Linked DNA regions of Saccharomyces cerevisiae S288C. Changing the gene in region 1 together with any one later gene gives a genetic interaction. Each region holds a gene or a part of one and is shown on either strand. Other genes may lie near its edges.

Region 1 (9,075 bases):
TTCGTTATCCAATATTCATAATTTTGCCAGAATAACAATAGGTCAGGGAGATATTCCTTGGAAGATGAAGCCGTTATTAGTTTTGTTGATTTCATACATTCGGAGTCCTGTCCTCTCTTCCTGCAGTTTCCACACGGTATCATACGATCACATTTGACTTTTCGCCTCGTACACACGGAACAGGGATGCTTGGATTTCAGTTGAGTGGTACGGTTAAACATTATTATTAGGATGCAAACTCGTGTTCGTAACTTTTGTCATCACCTGCTCTCTGAAGGTTGGTTATAATATTTCATTCTCTTACGCTTAGCTTACATGGCTGCGCGCACTTCATTTAAAGCCGTAAAAAATAAAGATTTCATAGAATATGAAGCTTTGAATCTCATGTAAACATTTATATAACTATGTAACGAATTATTTATCCAATGAAAGATCCACATGGACTGATTTTATTTGTAAATAGTTATCAACGCCGGTGTCGCCTGATTCTCTACCAATACCACTCATCTTAAATCCGCCAAAAGGAACTTTAGCTTCTTCTTGATTGGTTTGATTGATCCAAACAGTTCCTGCTTTAATATCGCGAGCAAACATGTGCGCTTTCTTGACATCTTTGGTGAAGACCGCAGAGGCGAGCCCGTAGCAAGTATCATTAGCCAGCTTCAGAGCGTCATCATAATTTGTGAACTTGCTAACAACCACAACCGGGCCAAATATTTCATCACGCAGCAACTTAGATGTTTCTGGTACATCAGTGAAGATGGTTGGGGGAATGAAGTAGCCTTTAGCTCCACCAATAGGAAATTCAGAGGTCTGGAACATGTCCAACTTTTCCTCCTTTTTACCACGTTCTATGTAACTTTTGATGCGGTCATACTGTGTACTTGATATAACTGGACCAACGATGCATTTCTCATCAAACGGATCAAATTTTCCTGCAACATCCCACTCCTTCTTTGCAGTTTCTTTAAACTTTTCAACAAACTTGTCGTAGATCGAACTTTGAACATAAACTCTTGAGTTTGCAGTGCAGATCTGTCCCGAATTAAAAAAAATACCATTTGCTACCCATTCTATAGCCTTATCAAGGTCTGCATCTTCAAATACAAGAGCAGGAGACTTACCACCGCATTCTAGTGTGATATCCTTAAGGTTCGATTGGCCGGAAGCTTCCAATACTGAGCCGCCAACCTTAGTACTTCCCGTAAAAGATATTTTGTCGATATCCATGTGGGTTCCTAAAGCTTTCCCCACAACGGAACCATAACCAGGAATGACATTGACAACACCAGGTGGAAAACCTGCTTTTTTAATTAAAGTAGCAAAATAAAGTAGAGATAGAGAGGTATTTTCAGCAGGTTTGATGATAACCGTGTTACCGGCCGCTAAGGCACCTTGCATTTTTCTACAAGCCATAGCTAGAGGATAATTCCATGGAACGATTTGAGCAACAACGCCAAAAGGAACTTTTAGAGTATATGCAAACTTGTTAAAAGTCAATGGAATGGTTTCACCCATATTGAACTTGTCGACCGCCCCCGCATAGTATCTTGTAAGTTCTATAATCTGGGCTAAGTCTTGTTTAGCATTGGAATGGAAAGGCTTACCAGCGTCTAAAGTCTCTAATGCGGCAAGTGTGTCTTGCTCCTCCTCAATAAGTTTTAATAAGTTTGAAAGATAAATACCACGTTGCTCAGAAGATGTCTTCGACCAAACGTTATCAAAAGCAGCCCTGGCAGCTTTCACAGCTTTGTCTACATCCTTTTCGTTAGCTGCTTGGAAGGATGTTATCGGTTCGCCAGTAGCTGGGTTCACAGTTTCGATGGTCTTTCCATCTGATGATGGACAAAACTCATTGTTGATAAACAACCCTAGCGGTTGCTTTAAAGAGATTTTCAATTGTGGGATTTCGATATCAGTATACAAGGTAGGCATTTTTCTTTTGGCTAATTTTCTAAATGTGTATAATCTATATCTCTATGATACAAGTCCAAGGTATAATTACCTGGCATGAGTCAAATTTATTCCCATCCAGATTTGCCATTTTATACAATTAGTTTCTGAGGTATGATCAGTTAAATCTACGCTATTCGTTTGAACAATCTCCCTGTCTCCTCCCTAAACTTACTAATTCCTTAACCCTTAGGGAGTTTAGCAATCAGCTTAAGAAGGGGGCTGATCAACAATCCGGTTCAAGTCTTGGATTAGCAGTAATGAAAATCCCTAAATGCACTAAAGGGCGTGGAAGAAAGGTACTGTAGAGTTCTAATAGTGATACTTTCCTTGTACTCCAGGGGGGGAAGGAAGAACAGACGTCATATGCAGAAAAAGAAAAAAAAAAGACGGAAGATCTACGTAATGGTGGGAATAGAGAAAACTAACACGCAAGTATAATTTCTTGACACAAAAATAAATCTCACTGAGTTTATAGCTCTATTTTTTTACCATCTTAAGGGATTTCTAGGACCTAGTAACAACAATTGTTCCGCATGCTGAAATAATGGTGCTTACAGTTTTATATCGAGTAGTGGACTACTACTGTTTGCTAGACTGTCAACATATTCATCCGTCGTCAGGCTAAGCTATTTAGGTACTTACGCACTTACATAATGATAACTATCACATTAGTTGTCCAAAGAGAGATTTATGTGAACTGCTTTTGTTTGAAGATAGGTATCAACACCACTTTGCCCCAGTTCTCTACCAATACCACTCATTTTAAACCCGCCAAAAGGAACGGTAACATCTTCATCGTTAGATGAGTTGATCCAAACAGTTCCTGCTTTAATATCGCGAGCAAACATGTGCGCTTTCTTGACATCTTTTGTGAAGACCGCAGAGGCGAGCCCGTAGCAAGTATCATTAGCCAGCTTCAGAGCGTCATCATAATTTGTGAACTTGCTAACAACCACAACCGGGCCAAATATCTCATCCTGTAACAGTTTCGATGTTTGCGGGACATCAGTGAAGATGGTTGGGGGAATGAAGTAGCCTTTAGCTCCACCAATAGGAAATTCAGAGGTCTGGAACATGTCCAACTTTTCCTCCCTTTTACCACGTTCTATGTAACTTTTGATGCGGTCATACTGTGTACTTGATATAACTGGACCAACGATGCATTTCTCATCAAACGGATCAAATTTTCCTGCAACATCCCACTCCTTCTTTGCAGTTTCTTTAAACTTTTCAACAAACTTGTCGTAGATCGAACTTTGAACATAAACTCTTGAGTTTGCGGTACAATTCTGTCCTGAATTGTAGAAAATGCCAGCTGCTATCCAATCGATAGCCTTATCAAGGTCTGCATCTTCAAATACGAGAGCAGGAGACTTACCACCGCATTCTAGTGTAACGTCTTTAAGGTTCGATTGGCCGGAAGCTTCCAACACAAATCCACCGACCTTGGTGCTTCCCGTAAAAGATATTTTGTCGATATCCATGTGAGATGCTAGGGCTTGGCCTACAAGTGATCCATAACCAGGAACGATATTGACAACACCAGGTGGAAAACCTGCTTTTTTAATTAAAGTAGCAAAATAAAGTAGAGATAGAGAGGTATTCTCAGCAGGTTTGATGATAACCGTGTTACCGGCTGCTAAGGCACCTTGCAATTTCCAACAAGCCATAGCTAGAGGATAATTCCATGGAACGATTTGAGCAACAACGCCAAAAGGAACTTTTAGAGTATATGCAAACTTGTTAAAAGTCAATGGTATGGTTGCACCTTTGTCAAACTTATCAGCGGACCCAGCAAAATATCTGGTAAGCTGTAAAATTTGTGCCAAATCACCTTTGGCATTTGAATGGTAAGGCTTTCCAGCGTCTAAAGTCTCTAATGCGGCAAGTGTGTCTTGCTCCTCCTCAATAAGTTTTAATAAGTTTGAAAGATAAATACCACGTTGCTCAGAAGATGTCTTCGACCAAACGTTATCAAAAGCAGCCCTGGCAGCTTTCACAGCTTTGTCTACATCCTTTTCGTTAGCTGCTTGGAAGGATGTTATCGGTTCGCCAGTAGCTGGGTTCACAGTTTCGATGGTCTTTCCATCTGATGATGGACAAAACTCATTGTTGATAAACAACCCTAGCGGTTGCTTTAAAGAGATTTTCAATTGTGGGATTTCGATATCAGTATACAAGGTAGGCATTTTTCTTTTGGCTTATTTTCACGATTGTTTTTGATGGACATGCAATGTAAAAATGATAGGAATGGGCCAAAAGTATTTTTAAGGATTCGCTCCCTTTATATGAACATTCTTGAGCAAAATTCGGGATATGATCAGTGAGTGTCGACAAGATTGCATCCCTAATGTTTAAACGAGTTAAAAAAACTCATCATTGGATAGGAGTAACCAATAAAGGGTATATGATTGCTATTATTAGTATCCAAAAGCCGCCGGGAACATCATAGGGCGTTAGCAAGTAAACGCATGGCACGATAATGGCAACCTTGTTTCTTCTGGCGGCAAAAGATAAGGCAATGCAAAATAAAAAACGAGAAAAAAAAAATGATAGAAGGGAAAGATAAGCAAATTTTCTTTCGAGCTGGAACGCTTCATTTTAATCTCACGCATTTGCAACCCATGCTGATGTCTGAAGCGCTGACAAATACTTCATACGTTCTTCTTGTGACACATTAAGAGGTAGCACGGAGGTGCAAGTAAAGATGGCAAAAGTACGGAAAGTAAGAAGGAAGTTTGCGGGTCAACCAGTTGCCCTTACTAGTGTACGTAAACATATGTATATATGTATGTAAATATCTATATGCTGCACTGCGATATCGAGTAGGTGATAGCGTTGAAACCCTCAATAAGGAAGAAAACGTTATAAATTGCAATGTTTTTAAAAAATGGTGGCTCTGCGTAATACAGCGCAAAAAAAGATAACTGACCGGGGCTAGTGTTTCAGCCTTACTATCTCATGCATTTTCGTATTATATGCCATGCATCCTGCTTTCGTAATCATCAAATTCTGAAAATTGTTCGGGATCTCTCTCGTGATCATTTTCATCTTCGTTATCATTATCAACACTATCGAAAGATGCTTCATCAGTAATTAAATTTCTGCTCGTTCCAATAATTCGTCCGCTTATTGCTGATTTATCATTTTTCGAATGATGTTCATCGTCCGAGTAACTTGGTGGTAGCATAGGTAAGGAATCTAGATTAATTTCCTCATTGATGATCTTCTTTCCAGTGGGAGGGGACATAGTGAATTCAAATCCAGGTGGTGGCGGTAATATTTCACCGTTTCTTATAATTATATCATCATTGAGATTTGTAGTACTACCAGCCGCAATATTGTCGCTATCACCGTCTGAAAAATCTTCGTCGAAATCATTGTCTTCACCACCGCTTTCTAATAGGGTATCTTTACCGTAGTCTTCGTAAGAAGGAGGAGGTAATTTAATGCCGTTTGACTTTGCGTATCCCCATTTTTTAACGTTTGCTTCTATATAAACAAAGCCATAAGTGCCGAAATTCACATGAATTTGACAAGGTACGTTGGAGCCAATGATCGGGTATAGGTATTGGAATTTCCAGCCGCGGATATGACCACCAACAGATTTTTCATTTAGTTTTTTTCCGTTCCTGGTGAAAAATACTGTTCCACTACGTGACCTATAGCCAATGCCAACAATGTCTCCCTTTTCACACTGTGGAAATAACGTTCTTAATTGCTCATTTAGTTTGAAGGAGTCATTAAATCTTCTGGCGCCGTTAGAATCGTATGCTATCGAATGGTGGTGTCTTCCCGGTAACCTGAAATATGGATAAGGCTGTGTGGAAAGACCAAATGAGATGACACCTTTCGATACATTTTCATCACTGTTTAGTGGGCCATCCGTTTCAAATATCTTGAATTCACAATAATATACTTTATTTATACACGGAATGGGTAGATTTGTGGATATAGAAGCATCATAATTATAATTTAGAAAAGAAACCTCTGTTTTATTTTCCACTATGACAGTATGGTTTGGCATATCAGGATTTGGGCTAAACTCCCATGCATAAGCCCCCTCTTCTTGAATATATTGCCTTGTTTGCTCGTTCATAATAGGGTCTTCACGGGTGGTGTCTGGATTGCTATCTTCGGACTGTTGTAAAAGTCCCTGGTTAAGCAGAAATGGTGGGTTCTGCTTGATATACTCCTCACCTTGCTTATAATAAAACTGCTCTTCAGGTGACAACTGTGCCAGCTTATCTCTTACTTCATCAGCATCGTCAAGATTGTTGGGCCACCTTAAACTCATGTTTTCCATTAATCTTCTGCTATGAACGTGTGCATTATTTTCGTCATAATCGCTGAATAAAGATATTCTTTGGCCAGGGCCATGCTCATTATAATATGCAGTTATAAGCCGCGTAGCTATCTGTTTTGTAAAAAAATAAACGATACAGATGACGATGTAGACCACGATTAAGGTTCCAAACGCAAACAACATTATATCCATGTTAAGTTCGTCAGTATCGTCTCCCCCATAAGATACATCGCCACGGGGGATCACCGAAGATCTACCACACCGTATTTGTCCGCTTATCGAACCGAGAAGCAGCGATTCTATCAGAAACTTGAATGACATTTGCTTTTTTATATAGAAAAAAAATTTGGCTCTCCAAACTTTAAGATTTTTTATAATTATTAACCAATGACAATATAGATAACTTGAAACAACTCTTGAAAATTTTGTAGTTAGGCACCAGTCCTTTGGTTTTTCAATGTTCTATAAAAAATCACTCCTCCATGCAGCAGTAAAGCGCTATTCTCAAAAATAGCTCAACCTGAGAGAGGAAGAAAGAGCAGTAGTAAATAGAGCAAGGTTCTTAAAGCCTGTATCAATGAAATTTTGTTATGGCGTTTATATGGATAACCTGGAATTTGCCTTTTTTCTTTATAGCGCACCGTTCCGAAGAAAAAAATAAAAAAAAAGGGCCGACGGAGGGTTAGGTCAAATTAAATATTGAGCTAGGTTTAGTTATCTCTTTTTTAGGTTTTTTATATACAAAAAAGATTATATTTAGGGTACATATGGCTGGAGCATAATGTCTGGAATGGGTATTGCGATTCTTTGCATCGTACGTACAAAGATTTATAGGATAACCATCAGCTTCGATTATTCTACACTGATGAGCCCTTTCTTCTTATTCTTAATGATGCCCACTACATTAAAGGATGGGTACAGGATGAATAGTCAAGTAAATGAAGATGCTATAGGTATCAATCTTGACCTCTCACTGCCCACTCACATTTCGCCTACGACTGGTTCAGAGAGCGCCAGTGGCAGTAACGCCAGTACACTTCGCAACGATGGAAATGCACTAGATGGAGGTCTTTTGAGGACTTCAGCAGCGATTTCAGCACCCACAGGTACCAGTCAACCAACAGAAACTATTGGTGAAAAACTGAGTAATGAAGAGCGGGTGAACTCGAATGTTTCCGCTTCGAACTCGACAACGGCGGGTACAGGGCGTATGTTAAGCCAATCCTTGACTAATGATTCACCGTCGAACGAAATATCGACGGATCAGTTGAAGATTTTTCAAAGAATGGACGAAATGAGTGCCCGAATGATTGAGATGGAGGAAAGCTTCAACAAGTTATCTAATAAGATCGCGGAACAGAATACAATGGTTTTAAACCTAAAACAAGATAACTATAAAGTTATGAACAAATTGAATATATTACTTAAGTTGGTTGCGCAGCCAAGCGCGCGCCCAAGCACAAACAATGCCCAAAATAAGCTTGCTATCGAATTGCTAAATTCGATATCAGCCGTTAGTAGTGCTTACTTGCAGAAAATGCAGAATAATGGCTCTGGTAGACAGCATACTGCTGATTTATGTACAGGAGATTCCAACACCCATTCTGGTATCAACCAGCATCGGACTACGAATGGAACCATAGATGTGAATACGAATACTGCACAGCTAAACAACCAATTTTCTAACGCACTAAATACTATCTTACCTGATCAGCAGCATAATCGAAATAATGTTTCCCAAAATATAAACCAATCGCTCCCTAACCGACAACTTGGTCCTGTTATAAACACACAAGCCAATCAGAACCAGTCGCAGGTTTTAATTCATAACACAAATACACATCAGCAGGTAAATCGCTCGCCTATTAGTTTCCCGAACGCTTCAACTGACAAGCCATTCAAGTTGAACCCAAATGGGATTAAACGGCGCAGAAGAAATACGCAAAGTAACAACAATGCGAGCACAAATGACCATGCTAGTGCTGCACAAAAGCCCATATCAGCCCTATCTCCATTAACGAATTCTCATAATTCTACAACTAGCATGAATTATACCAATTCTTCCATTCATTCAGGCGTCACCAGTGCTTCAAATTCATTTCATGACTTAAATTCATTGAATAACTTTGGCACGACAACAGCTTTAAGTTTGCCCAGCTTAGCCCTAGATAACGCTTCTTTTCCCCCAAATCAAAATGTTATACCCCCTATTATAAATAATACCCAGCAGCCTCTATCATTTTCCCAATTGATCAATCAGGATAGCACGACATCTGAATTGTTACCGAGTGGTAAGTCAGGGGTGAACACGAATATTGTAAATAGAAACAGAGCTTCTACTCTACCGTCGTACCCAAAACCAATGACAGTGAAAAGTAATGTCGACGATGATGGCTATCAAGAGGATGATGATGATGACGGTGATGACGAAGGTGATGGAAGGGATAATGAAGAAGACAGCACTGCTGAGGAAGATGAAGTAGATGATGAAATCGAAACAGATATGAAGAACGCTTCGATTAACAAGCGGAGGAGGAGCTTGCATCATAAAAAAAGTAACTCTTTAAACGGTAGAAGAAAGCTTCACGGCGAGTCGGCTACTAAGCCCAACATAAACTCTGATTTACATTATAGGATATTGAAGGCTCCCACTGACGTAAAGACTATATGGGAAGAGTATGATACTGGAATAAGAGGAAAGCCATCGATCAAGCATCTTGAGGCCAAGTATGGTAACAAGTGGAGGCTCAATAAAAATAAGAAGACCTTTTCAAGGCGAAAAAGATTGTACAAGTTCATTCTGAACGGTATGG
Region 2 (6,200 bases), on another chromosome or scaffold:
CTTCTAGTGGAATATTGCACTTCAGAATGGTGCTCAGTTCTTGGATTGTCATCTGTGCTGCACCGTCACCTTCAAACAAAATTAATCTTGGCTTATAGTCCTCTTTTACGTTGCCACCATTGATGTGAGCGTTTGAGTGGTCTTGCATGGCAATTCCAACACCTAGGGCGGCAGGAAGGGCCATGCCAATGGAAAGGAAAAATCCTTGCGATATATATTTTAATTGCGAAGGAAACGCGAAATCACGAACAGAGAATTGAAAAGAGCCTGTTTCACAAACGACAACATCACCAGGGTTCAAAAATTTAGGCATCGTCTTTTGTAAGTGAACTTGTGTAATAATGCTTGATTGTCCATTGGTAGGATCTTCTAACCGCATTGTTTCGTTCGTATATTGAGTTACATTTGAATCATATTGCAAAGAAAGTTTAGAAACGTCAATGCGCTTGTATAGTTCTTTTAAAATAGGGGCAAAATTGATTCCTTTGAACATTTGCTCATTGCCCTGCCTAGTGTCCACAAGGCGAATATAATTCGGATGAAATTGAATGATTTTAGCATTTGGTTTATAAGTAAAAGTATAATGCCCATTATTAATTTCATTGATGTCGACTCCAAAATGCAAGACCAAGTCGCACAGTTCAAAATGTTCATAGACTTGTTTTAAACCTTCTTTACCATTATATTGACCCATATAAGTTGGGTTTGACTCATCAATTACAGATTTTCCCATAACAGTGGAAAAATTCCAAATCCCAGTTTTGCAGATAAGCTTGTTCAAAAAGTTACTCACACCATACCTATCAGTCAGTACGTCTCCAAGGATCGCAGGTGTTTTACTGGAATATATCCAACTAGTAATCTTGTTGATTATGTCAGACAATTGGTTTTCAGAAGGGTATACTATACAATCTTGTTGAGATATACGTGGAACATTAACCAAATTATCACATGTAACAGACATATCCGCAAAATCTGCAGGAACAAAAATATAACCAGGTTTAGAATACTTGTAAATATCGCGGATAACATTATCGACTTGGTCACATGCAGTTTCAATATCCTCCAAGTAGGCTACCGAGCAAGCGACTCTATCTTTTACCATATCATGATATACTTTATGATTTGGCCCTTTAAAATTTGAATCATGTAGCTGTGGGACCAAATGATGTAGGTTCCGATCACTAAAGTTACTTGAACGCGAATCTATGGACTTGGCCACACCAACAATGTGCAAAACTTTGACATTTTCAGCGAACGAACCGGCTATACCGTTCAAGGCGCTTAATTCACCAACGCCATACGTGGTTATTAAACAGCCAATCTTATTAGAGTAACGGGAATATCCGTCGGCCGCATAAGCGGCGTTCAGTTCATTACACGTGCCGACCCATCTTAGGCCAGCTGATTCAACACTAGGTGAATAGAGATATTCTAATAGAGATAAGTTGAAGTCACCAGGAACACCGAAAACTGATTTCGTATCGATGGACAACAATCTTTTAAATATGTATTCACCAAACGGAATTGTTGCTGATCGGTTGGAAACAAGGTGTCGTTCTTCTTGATTTACGAACTTTTCAATTGTAACAGGTGCCATGCTTAAGGGAGTTTCTTTGTTATCTTGTAAATAAACTTTACAGAAGTCGCGTCAACTTGTTTTGAGTATCAAGTTGAGAGGGTTGATCAGTTAAATATGTTTTATATCAGATTTTATGTAGTATTAATAAACGCAGAAAAAAAATGAAAGTGAGCTGCCGCTGTAGTGACGATGCAAACTAGCCCAGTTTATATCTTAAACTTTACTCAACACAATAAATAAGATGCCACTAACCTATTACATACCGACACTTACCGAAGGTATCAAAGCTCCGCCGCACAAAAGTACGACAAATGCTCAGCATGACCTCGGCAATTTTCGGTAAATGACGGCTATCCGCGGTTATCCCTCCCGGTAGGTAACCGACACTTTGGAGAGGATTCGCAAAGGCTCAAAGTAATATATGACGGCTTTTTCAAAAAATAGCCTAAGCCTACTACCAAATGTTAATAAGGAAGCTACATGAGGTGTACAAGCATCGAATTTTGGATTATCTTTTTCGCTAAGACGTTGTTGTACGCTTTCAATCCTGCTTTTTTAAATTTCGGTGGACGAACCAATCTAAAATGTAGTAAAACTGGTAGATGTTAATTAATTAACCTTGCAAAGCCGAAGAAAAAAAGGGGTTCGCCAAATTATTCTTAACAAAGATAATGTAGCTTAAACACACAAGAAGAAGAGGAGACGCAATACCAAGAGCATGCCTAAGAGATTAAGTGGGTTACAAAAAGAAGTCTTACACCTGTATAGGGCTTCCATACGAACGGCTCATACAAAACCAAAGGAAAACCAAGTTAATTTTGTGAATTATATTCATGAAGAATTTGGGAAGTATAGAAATTTGCCAAGAAAAGACTTCACCACCATTGAACACTTGTTACGGGTCGGAAACAAAAAAATTGCCACCTTTTCACACCCTGAACTGACGAATATACATTGAACTATTTTCTTACTTTATTCTTTTTTCATATGATTTCTTATTTAATCTATCCTATGTTTATTTAACTTTTGCAAATCTGTATTATGCTTGCTTAAATATGTCTCTATAGTTTCCAAGTATAAATTCCACGATATAATTCCTCTCCTTCATGTCCACAATATCTTTCTCGCCGTCAAAATCGTGGATAAGACTCGGTGCAAAGACCAACGACAAGTTATGTAAGTTCATTAAATTTCTTTCACTGCACCTTCGAACTTTGCCGATATGTGCTGCCAATACTTTCAATACTTCCTGATGCTCTACGGGTAAAATTTTGAAAATTTCAAGTAGGCTTTTGAGCACCATTTCATAAATAGTCACTTTTTGTGGTGAATCCAAAAACTTGTCGTTGTTTAATGGTAGCCTCTCAATTAGTTGGTTATTTCTAACTAGATCTATCAAGGCATCGTATATGGAAAATGATAAAACTGGATCTGGTAGTTTTCTCAAATATCGTTTTAATACGCTAGCCACTGCATGAATATCTTGATTCAGTAAAGCATTCAGTTTGGGACTTAATGTATCACTATGCAACGAATTATTCTGAGCGAATTCATTTTCGATCTCCTCAACCAAAGTCTGTGAGCCCGACTTTCTGTATAAGCCTTCCATGTTCAGGCCTATATCATCTTTTTCAATGCGATCAATGCAGCACCTGATAATTATTGGAACAGTACTTTTTTCATACGCACATCGAGCTTGTAGCGAAGATCCATATAAATGGGAACCATCAGGCGTATAATCTAATCTCTTTGGACTTGGCGACAGTGGTACTTTGCCTGGAGAAGGAAGCTCATCGTGTACTCGAATTAATTTCGGTGATGATATTTCTTTCTGTGCTATATTTGTCGTTCCGCCTGAAGATGAATTTGGCGAACGTTGCTGTGATTCTAGATCGCCTACCTGGTGATCCTTAGCACTTGAAAATATTTTCCAGAAGCGTGGTTTAGGACTGGCATTAGATATGCTCCCTTTTCTGTCGGAATTTGAACTTGGTGACTTTACAGTGATTGATGTTGCAATGTTTTCTTTTTGTTCTAAGGACTCCCGGGAAGATGCAGATTGCTTATCCTTTTCTCTTGTTAAATTGTCAACATCATTTAACAGCCTCTCTTTCGCTAATCTTAGATTTTCAACATCTTGTAATAATTTTTTCTTCGTACCTTCTAGTTCCCTCACATCTAATTTTAACTTCCTTAAAGTCAACTCAGTAAAGTAAAAGTCCTTTTCCAAGCTTGTAGCGCTTTCATCAGTAGCATCCACTTTCGTGGAATCGTCTTCCAACAATGCATTAGTGGATCTAGACGTCTGTAAGCTAGAAGATCTGTGGTGTGCGGACTCAGATGACAGAGATGGCCTCTTAAATAATGGCCCTGATTCCAAAGGCGGCGTACGGAACATTGCTATATGATGCCCCGAGCTTGAACTTGTAAATGAACCATTTATGCGTCTATTAGTGGCTGTATCATTAGAATTTTGCTTTTTGGATATACTGCCAAGGCTGCTTTGCGCTTTTTTGTGATTAAACTCCGGTACTGTAAAATTTCCATGTTGTGGTAGAGTATTGTATATTGTACTGTCACTTTGGCCTCTTGATACAGGATTTTTTTTGGCTTTTGATTTTCTTATATTTGTATGAGTAGAGGAAACACCCCAGCCAGAATGAGTGTCTGATTCCTGTATAGAAGTGCTGTGATGGGGATGCTTTGGGTCCAGCATTTCCGAAGTTTTACTTTTCAGGTTGTGAACAAAATTTTTGGACTTCAAAGAAAACGATCTTGAAAGTTTTTTGTTTGGAGAGGGTGCTACTTTTTTATGCGGCAATAAGTTATCTGCTGTTTGAGGCCTGCTGAAACTTCCATTATCAGACAAACGTAATGTCGATGAAGAGGTTGATGTTTTCATTTCTACGGTATCGGTTCTTGTAATCGGGGAGACATGATTCATAGATTTGGAAGTTGACGTTTGAATACCTTGAGATGATTTGTTATTTTCTTTCGTAGCTTCTGATAAAGTTAATGCCAGTCCATGCGGAGGTTCGACCTCTTCGTTCATTTGTACAGCCATAGGGCTGTTCAAAGGACTTGTAATTTTATCAGTGCTATTTCTGGGTGTGTTGACGATGATTTCATTCTCTTTGTTGTCTGTATCATCTTTGTCTGTCTCTTCTTTATCATAAATTGAAAAGAATCTATTCGCGTTCGAGTTCGAATTTGGGATCCTCGGATCCTTTACCACTATGGAATCTCGATTTGCTCTTTGTGGTTTTAATAGCCTATAGGTTACGTCTTCACCCATTTTGTTGATGTAGTCCTCATTATCCACCAAACTCTGCTCTTCAATGCTATTACTATCGTGTTCCAAAGTAGAGTTCAGAATGTCGTCAATAGAAACCGTCCTTGCGTGAGAAGATGTTTCCTCCCTGTCCTTGCTGTTATCATTATCATTATTGTCATTCAACGATGATTCATCTCTTTCTTGTGATACTAAAACTTGTGGAGTGAGCTGTTGATCCTCATTCGAGCTTACAAGGTTCTTACTTATTGCGGTGTTGTTTGTACTGACATCTGACTTACCATTTATTCTGGTGGGTGACAAGGGCCTTTTGACTGATCTTTCAGGAAGTTTTATGGGAAAATCTTCTTTCGATGAATTTTTTGTTTGATTTTCCAGTAATAGTTGTTTTTTTCTCAACAATTTCTCGTGACAATCCATACAACATAGTCCTCGTTTTGTCTTTGCATACTTTAAGTTCTTTATACGGTTGCTGCACCGACAGCATCTGAAACAATTGGAACAATAGGCCTCATTTGAGGAAGGCAGTATAATTGCTGTGTCGTCTATTTTATCGCCACAATTTGTACATTTATCTGAGCAGTCGTAACAAATTAATGTACCTATATCCAGAACCAAAAAGTCTGAATCTGCGTTCAATTTTTTGTCACATTTGTAGCATGTAAAGCACTGGTCATGCCATTTTTTGCTTTCTAATTCGTATACCTGGCTAGACGCGATTGATTTATTGCACCTCACACATAAAGACGATTGGTCATTAATAGGGTCAGCTGACATATTTTTTTCATCAAAATCTCCTTGCTCTTGAGATGCTACGTTATATTTCACTTTATTAAAAGTACAATGAACTCTTGGTAATAAAAGATAAGGATTAGAAACGCCAAGTATGCAAAGATGAAATGTTAATCAATAGGGGAGTCGACTGATCGATCTTCTGGCTAACATTCTCCAAGGAATGCCAATTTTCATATCTCGACCTGATACTGTTTACCCGAATGGGAAACTAAATTGACGTGCATTATCATTACAATTAAAAGTTACTGAAGCGATGCAACGATTTAAGCACAATTGAAGCGGCATAAATCGAATATCACTGTGGCTAATTAACTGGGTTATGTGTAGGAAATAAATGTTATTACGACTATAGGCCTTTCTTTTAGCCGTTTAATGTAAGATATTTCTATTATTAAAACATTTTACCCGGGGGCAGCTGTTCGTGTACAATGCCAAATAAGCAACGTCGCAGCAACCCATTCAATAATGCACAAGACGCCATATTAACGAGAAAATATGGCATTGCACAGTATAAGCAAAACAAGCAGAGAT

Evidence for each region. A genetic interaction does not mean that the proteins touch.
Region 2: of ALD2 (region 1) and ARO10, changing one enhances a phenotype caused by changing the other (phenotypic enhancement), as found in Saccharomyces cerevisiae (one study listed by BioGRID).

What each region holds. Positions count from the first base shown.
Region 1 is NC_001145.3:598,938-608,012, forward strand, and holds ALD2 (aldehyde dehydrogenase (NAD(+)) ALD2), read right to left. Parts: upstream 4,146-9,075; coding exon 2,625-4,145; downstream 1-2,624. Other genes in the region: CEP3 (Cep3p), read right to left, coding at 1-221; aldehyde dehydrogenase (NAD(+)) ALD3, read right to left, coding at 415-1,935; EAR1 (Ear1p), read right to left, coding at 4,931-6,583; HOT1 (Hot1p), read left to right, coding at 7,044-9,075. UniProt on the Saccharomyces cerevisiae protein: Cytoplasmic aldehyde dehydrogenase involved in ethanol oxidation. Required for pantothenic acid production through the conversion of 3-aminopropanal to beta-alanine, an intermediate in pantothenic acid (vitamin B5) and coenzyme A (CoA) biosynthesis.
Region 2 is NC_001136.10:1,229,618-1,235,817, reverse strand, and holds the start of ARO10 (phenylpyruvate decarboxylase ARO10), read right to left. Parts: upstream 1,601-6,200; coding exon 1-1,600. Other genes in the region: SDH6 (Sdh6p), read left to right, coding at 2,301-2,540; GTPase-activating protein RGA2, read right to left, coding at 2,622-5,651. UniProt on the Saccharomyces cerevisiae protein: One of five 2-oxo acid decarboxylases (PDC1, PDC5, PDC6, ARO10, and THI3) involved in amino acid catabolism.